2 linked regions of the Bombyx mori genome follow. The protein of the gene in region 1 binds, or shares a complex with, the protein of each later gene. Links are inferred from orthologs where the notes say so. Each region holds a gene or a part of one and is shown on either strand. Other genes may lie near its edges. The genes, in order: disks large 1 tumor suppressor protein and G-protein-signaling modulator 2.

What was found.
Region 2: the proteins of disks large 1 tumor suppressor protein (region 1) and G-protein-signaling modulator 2 are in contact, whole or in part, in a crystal structure (PDB 3TVT), measured with the Drosophila melanogaster proteins. The link is inferred for Bombyx mori from reciprocal best matches to the Drosophila melanogaster genes dlg1 and pins. Residues at the interface, in NP_996406.1 of Drosophila melanogaster: Cys808, Val809, Pro810, Arg814, Arg817, Arg824, Asp825, Tyr826, Ile839, His842, Phe844, Ile845, Glu846, Ala847, Gly848, Gln849, Tyr850, Tyr855, Ser877, Asn879, Arg883; in NP_524999.2 of Drosophila melanogaster: Arg434, Met437, Gln439, Leu440, Asp441, Leu442, Ile443, Lys444, Ile445, Thr446, Pro447.

What each region holds. Positions count from the first base shown.
Region 1 is NC_085118.1:7,814,409-7,818,241, reverse strand, and holds part of disks large 1 tumor suppressor protein, read left to right. Parts: intron 1-799; coding exon 800-933; intron 934-1,491; coding exon 1,492-1,611; intron 1,612-2,017; coding exon 2,018-2,147; intron 2,148-2,902; coding exon 2,903-3,011; intron 3,012-3,568; coding exon 3,569-3,610; intron 3,611-3,833. UniProt on the Drosophila melanogaster protein: During embryonic development, some isoforms are essential for proper neuronal differentiation and organization. Required for cell polarity; maintenance of apicobasal polarity.
Region 2 is NC_085107.1:20,243,486-20,247,318, reverse strand, and holds part of G-protein-signaling modulator 2, read right to left. Parts: intron 3,298-3,833; coding exon 3,019-3,297; intron 2,851-3,018; coding exon 2,611-2,850; intron 2,084-2,610; coding exon 1,819-2,083; intron 1-1,818.

The sequences.
Region 1 (3,833 bases):
CTAGTACTCAAGATAGATAAGTCTAGGAAAACTGCACTAGTATGCATATTTTTGCATGATCAATAGTTCAATATACTGCTATTGTGGCCCATTTCGAATTTTTTCAATTAAAACATTAATTGTTTTAAACTTTCTCCATCTCACTATACACACTATTATTTAACGTGTTCTTGGAATGATTGCATTTTTTCCTACCCAATCGTTTGTAGCTTAAGAGACTATTCCAATTACGCGTGGACCGGTACGTGATCTTCACGGGCTCAACCCGCAAGAATTGCTAACATTGACCCTATCAAGAGTAGTACTTCGCTGAATCTACCACCGAATTGGAATCGCGGTCCACTGAGAAGGTCCGGAGAGATTTTCAGTGGCTTGTGTCTATGGGCTAGTTAGCCGACGACGATGCCTGTTGCTTGGAGAGCCTAAAAGCACCGAGAGCGGATTCGGAGTATCCGACAAGACATGATAAGTAATTAGATGACTACGATAAAAAAGTTATCGTGTCGTGCCGCTTTATCAAAGTAGCGTTCTGATGCATCCTTAAGATACTCACACATCATTTCTAGATTTTGGCTGTCGTTAAGATGACCTGGAGATTGTGTGCACGAGCCGCGTGAACGAACATTACACTTGCATAGGTCATGGCGGAATGATTTCACATTTCTTGAGTTCTCAACACTTAATTTACCCGTGATCATGCAACAGCGCCGTAAATTAATAACTTTTTTAACTATGTGTTTTGTATGATACTAGAATGCAGAGCAAAATATTAATAAGAGATATGTAATTATTTTTCTAGAGCACGGGTCAAATTGTTAAATTGACTGTTGTGTATCGTCCACAAGAATACAATAAGTTTGAAGCACGAATCAATGAATTGAAACAACATCATACGCTATTACGGACATCTCAAAAACGATCCTTGTATGTAAGGTAGGTTATGAAAAAAATAACGAAAACCATGTAATAAAATTGTGTAATGTGTGTGATCATACTTATATTGTTAATAGCATAGAAACTCTGTGGTTGTGGGCCTTTTGAGGTAAAAACTTTCTGAGTTTACGGGAGAGTAATGGGAAAACGTGCAGTAGAAAAGTCAATCATATGTGCCTATTTAATACACTTTTAACTGGTAGTTTTATTGAGATAAAGAATGAGTTAGATCAATAATTTTATTTACTTTTAATTTTAGATATGATATGTTTTCTGAAGAGAAGCTTTTCCATTTTCCTGTTCTATGGATCTGCAGGCCGTGTATCTAACTAACTTTTGTATTTTTGTACCCACTTCAGGGAATTTGTTAGCATAGTACACTATTTGTTACAATAAATGGATGTATTTCAAACATATCACATTTATCCACAAGGGATCATGACAGATCCATCTGTAATATAGGTTGATAAGTGGTCTTCGTGGTTTTCATAAAGTTTCATAGTGTTAGTGCTTTCATTGTGTCCACGCTTTTTTAATTATGTTTGTTATCGTTTACAGAGCATTATTTGACTACGACCCCATTCGAGACGATGGTCTACCTTCGAGAGGATTGCCGTTTCGATATGGCGATATATTGCATGTTACAAATGCGTCCGATGACGAATGGTGGCAAGCCAGGTACGCTGGTTTCTTGTATAATATAGCCTAACCGATGGACTAATAAGCATCATCGCACATATTACTTATGTCATTAACTCTGTCACATTGACAACAATCCAAACTTTAAACTTTCAAACTATGTATAAAGTCAAAATACTCAGACCTTCGGAATCATGTCTCAAGGCGGGTGGTGGCATTTGTGTTGTAGATGTCTATGGGTTCCGATAGCCACTTAATACCAGGAGGGCCGTGAGTTCGTCCACCCTTTTTTTTTAATTTAGTCTGGAAATGCGTGAATGCTACACAGCAACACATACCAACTTGATTATAAATTTTAGTTTCATTTTAGAGATAGTTGTTTCAGCATCACACAAAGTCAGATGTCAATGTCACTGTTTTGCAAATTTATAAATCAATGTTCCAGAAGGCTGGGTCAGGATAAAGTGGACACCGATGCTATCGGTATAATTCCTTCGAAACGTCGATGGGAAAGAAAACAGCGGGCACGCGATCGACAAGTTAAATTCCAGGGACAGGGTACACCGGTCAGTACGGTGAGTATTTTTTGTTTTATCCTCATCCAACTCACTAGGTTGGGGTCAATGTAAATCAGTATTATATATTTTATTTATTTATTTATTAAGTTGCACCAACAAAGTGATCATCAATACAAAACATTGACAAATTGAGAAAAGTTCATGGCAGATGTCACCACAATTATAGGTGCAATCGACAGTGCATTAAAAAATTATAAAACTAAGATTTGATTACATTTGATTGATTGCTTAAGATCAATTTATATTTAATTGGGACATGATCCGCGACAGATTTTGTGAGACAATTAGAAAAAACATCTATTTCACTTAAAATTAGTTCAGCGCAATTGGATAACTCCGAAGGAACGTTGACGGAGACCGCCGCGCTACCGTGGACATTATTGTAGTCCCAAAGGATTCTGTTTAAGGGAGAGTAAGCCCCTAAATTCGAACGAGCGTTATAGTTTTATTAACTTACACTACTGGTACCTTCAAAGGTTAAATCGACGCCCAGTGGTGGATCACATACTGAAAACATACCATTTTAGCAAACCACTTGGTATGAATACACCAACAAGTAGTGTCGTTTTTAGGTCACGATTACCTCAAAATTATATTAAATTTAAAAGCAACAGAGCATGTGTTTCCTGATAGTGCAACTTGTTTAATAAAACCTATTTTATGTATTTTCTTAAGAGACACCTTGGCTGGCACGATATTCGAACTTTGTAATTTCCCAAAAATACTAATCATCAAATGATTTCTTTTTCAAGAGCCAATCCACTCTGGAAAGGAAAAAGAAAACTTTATCTTTCAGTAGAAAATTCCCATTCATGAAGAGTCGAGAAGACGGCAAATCTGAAGATGGTTCCGATCAAGAACGTAAGTCGTTTTTAAAGTATTTTCAACACATTCATATTTTTGACGGTATGAAGTTTTCATAATTATTTTTATATAAACACATTTTTTAGTCAAGAGCACAGCATTTTAAGAGAAACTATGATACATGCAACAAGTTTGTTAATTTGATGGTCAAATTAATTAATTGAAGCTTAGAAACTATAGAGCTTTATACTATAAAAACCATGTACAATTTTGCACTACTAACATGGGATTTCGACTCATCGGCTCCCACTTATAATCGCTTGGGTACACTAATTTATACTCTCACTGTGAAAATTTGGCAAGGAAAATTTTAAATTTTATGTGAACGCGAATTAAAAATTATTGAAATTAAATTTCCTAATGTAAGTTAAAAACATCTAAACAACTAAAAATAGTTAATAGATCGTTCATCAACGAAGCTGTTTAGCTCGTGCCGCATATTATACGACCTGTACCGTTCGTCCTCTTCTAACGTTCGCGCGAGAAAGAGAAAGTATTATACTTTATAATATGCGACGGGCTAAAAAAAAAACTAATAATACAATTTGTTACAGCTTTCATGCTTTGTTACACGCAGGAGGACGCTAACGCTGACGGTAAGTGCACCATGTCCGCCCTCGATCATATATATATTTGCCATTTTGCTATTAAATGTATGTAGGTCATTACGCAGTTTTTATTTCGTGCGGCCGCTAACAACCAATCTGTCTGAAGTTGGGTTGTCTTTACATTAAAGCTATGCTTTACCTAACAACGATTGAGTCTTAAAAGACGAACTGTTTTAGTCAAATGTATTTTCTTATTTTATTTCAATTAATT
Region 2 (3,833 bases), on another chromosome or scaffold:
ATATTTTTGCCTTGGTTAGCGTACGAGTGGTTCCTGGAGCCCATGGACATCTACAATTACACACATATACACATGGACATATAAAATTGTTTATTTATTTAATTATATCTCAAGTAAAGTTTCAATAACGTAATATGATTGATGTATGTGTATGCTTTGAAGAGTTCCAATACGAGCATAGAACGGTACAAGCGCGACCGCGGCCTGTATCGACTGACAAACGACTCCGATGATTGTCGCCGAATCCAAACGCACATCAAAGTATTAGTACTCCCGGAACGAATCACGATTTGTCGCCCACATTTCAATTGCTCGGAAAATTTTACAACCTTTCCTTTGAATGTAACGTCGTCAATAAGCTGTTCAGGAGAAGAGGGAGTGTCTTCAAAGCGTGCCGTGGTAATGAGGAGACACCGCTGTTAGATCTTAACTTTCATAGCTATAAATGTTAAAACTAAGCTGCTCTACTGAGACACTTCCTGTATAAGAATAGCGATATTTTTAATTTCTATTTCAAACTTACAATAATTACATGATTGCACAGCTCAGTAATGTTGTAACATTATGACTATTCTCGATGCAGTCTTAAGGAATTACTTATATAGTTTGTTGTCTTTTTCTTGGAGTTAACTATTAGCTTTATTATTTAAAGAAACCTTATTCGAAAATAGCCGCATCGATTTCCTAGTACAATATGAGAGAACTAATATTAATTTAAAATTATGAATATTAGATTATTTCCCTCTAATGTCTAAATAATTTAATATTTATATGTACGATATAAAGTTAAATTTTCGTCAAAGGTAAAAATTACTTAAACAATTTTTTTACTACATTTTTTTTAATGTTTTATTATTTATTATGTTTCGATACGTGTGTGTACGAGAACAAATAATTGTAAGACACCTCACCACCGAGCGACTTGTGAGCACGCACAGGTAAGACTCACCAACCTGCCTATTTTTTCCGCGGAGCAGTAATGGGTTCTAGTTTTGCGTGGGTCAACCTTTATCTAATGCAGTTGAGTTTTCGGCCTCATGTCCCAAGATGGGTCGCGGTATTCATGTTGTGCGATAAGCATATCGGCTGTGGTAACCACTTAATAACAGATGAGCCGTCGTTTCAAAAATCAAACCATAATTTGACAAATAGTAAAACTTATGGTTGGTATGACCTCTTTCAAGCAAACATGTTAGAAGAAAATTATGGCACACAGAAAAGTTGCGATTATCAAATTATTATTATATTTTTTTTTATAGTTAGCCGTACGCGATCACTCATTATTATTAAAAAAAAAAATTAACTATATCGAAATTATAATTTAATTTGCCTTTAATTATTAATTACACTTGTTCTTTATTTTTTCTTTCAATTCCGCACTTACATTAGTGAAAAATATGAAAAGCCGTTGACGATTTCGAACGTAAGTATTGCGAAGTTTTCCCGCTAGAGAAGAGTGTAGGTAAAGCGCGCGATGAGTCGCGGACCGCGCTGTGCAGCGCTGTGAGACCACTGAGCAACCGCCCCCGGCCGCGCGCACCCCGGCCCGACCCCCCGGGACCCGGGCCCCGCCGGAACCGAACGCCACCTAGCCTCTCGCTATGCACTAAATAACTTTAATGGAAACTGCAACACTATAATTTCATACTGTGGATGGTTCGCAAATTCGTTCGGAAAATACGTAAGGAGACACTGGACAGTGGACGTCCTCATTTCGGAAATACATTATGCGAATTACTTATGTGCGATGTGAACGTATTCCTGAATATATGAACAAGGCAAAAACATTAAAACGAGTGGGTAACTGATATTACTGACCTCTTTCGATATGGTATAATGTTCAATGGCATAATACAATGCTTTCTCGTGGTTGCCGAGAGCCGCGTGGGCGTTGCCCAGAGACCAACAGGCCCTGCCTTCGCCAACTCGATCCTGAAGCTTCCTGGCCGCCTCCAGGTGCCTAGCATGGTACTCTTCCGCAATTCTATACTCCCGGAGTAACGTGTACGTATTCCCTAAGGAGTAGCAGGCTTGTGCGACCACCGCTTCGTCTTTTAATTCTTCGGCAATCGCCAAAGTCTGTCTGAGAACAATTTATTGACGATCATCGAGAGTCACCTGACTGAGTTGTGGAGAGGACGAGCACAGCACAAAAACGCAAAGCAAAATATGTATCTCACACAAACATAAACAAAATTAAAATTAACAAAACATTAAACAAATAAATCAATCGGCAAGGAATCGCGCAAGTAGCCGGCAGCGTTGCTATGTGCAAACATTATTTTACATGCTGTGTAAGATTTAGCTAATGAGCTAGTCACTTCTTTATATAATTATGTCGCCACTCGTTACAAATGATCATTAAAAGTACGAATTCATAAATCAACTTGCACAATAACTAATTGTACTCACTAAAATTTACGTATGACGCTAGATACAGTTTCATGTGATACATCTGTCGAGGAGTCCTGCACTGAACAAAACACACGAATTTCGCGCGCTGCAGTCCAAACTAATATCAAACAACGTAACAGGATACATGGCTGTAATAATCTCGTTAGGAGTTTCGGTTTCACATTCGCCGTCACCTACCACGGTATTCAAACTCACTTGTAATGATCGGCCGCGTTCTCAAACTGCCCGAGGAAAATGTGTGAGTTTCCAAGATTGCTGTGGGCGCGTCTTTCGGCTGCCTTGTCTTTACATTCCTTGGCCATTTCCAGTCGCTCCGTGTGGTACTGAACAGCTACATTAAATTCACCAAGCAGGTAGTAAGTGTTTCCAAGGTTGCCGCAAGCCCGACCGATGGCTAGGCGATCGTTCAGCTCACGCATGAGTACCAAATTTTGTCTAAAATCATTTGGCATATATAAACTCAACATAATAGTAGAAAAATTTACGTTTTTGAGATCTACATTATACAAGTACATACAATGCTGTTACTTTGTTATTTAACCGGAATTTTTTAAATAAGGAGACAAATGAATATAAAAGAATAAATATTGATGGAAAACTCACTCATAATAGTTGACTGCTTGTAAAAGGCATTCGCGCACCTCTTGGGGAAAATGTCCCGGATCGTTTTGTCCGACCTTTCCCAGATGTTTACCTTGGGCATGGTATACGTTGGCCAGGTTGTACAGAGCTCTACCCTCGCTATTTCTGTCGCCCAGGGAGCGAGATATCTCCAGGTGTCGGAGGCAGCACTGTATGGCCTCATTGAACTTTCCTATTACTTTAAGGGTGTTGCCTAGATTACCTGAAGCTTTGGCTTCGCCCAGCTTATCATTCATGGTTCTGCGAATAAAGTGACACCTTAATAATGTGACAGAAATTTCTGAGTGTAGTATGTGTACAGAATTTTAATTTAATTTAGTTATATTTTAATGGAATTGTCAACTTAATAGTAAGTGTTAGTTGAAATTTTCCCCAACTACATCTTTAGGTTAAGGAACTAAACATAGATACATACGAGCAAAATGGGAATACCATTTCATTTAAATTTTATCTCGTATTACGAATCTTTCAATAAATGTGAATGGACAATCTAAACAACTTCCTGTTATAAGTATGAAACAATCACAGAGATCTCATAGCTGCAAACTCATTTATTGAAACTTAATTAAATTTCCACAAACTATCGACAAGAACTTACAATTAATTAAAATGTAGACAATAAATGTTGGAAGTTAGTCTTTCTTAGTAAAGTTAGTCTTTCTCTCTGAAGTAATTAAAATAGACGAAAGAAAATGCATTCCAAATGCGTGCAGCGACACGGCCGCGGCGAAATTCAATGATCTGATCCACACAGATTTGCAATTAAGGAGAAGTAT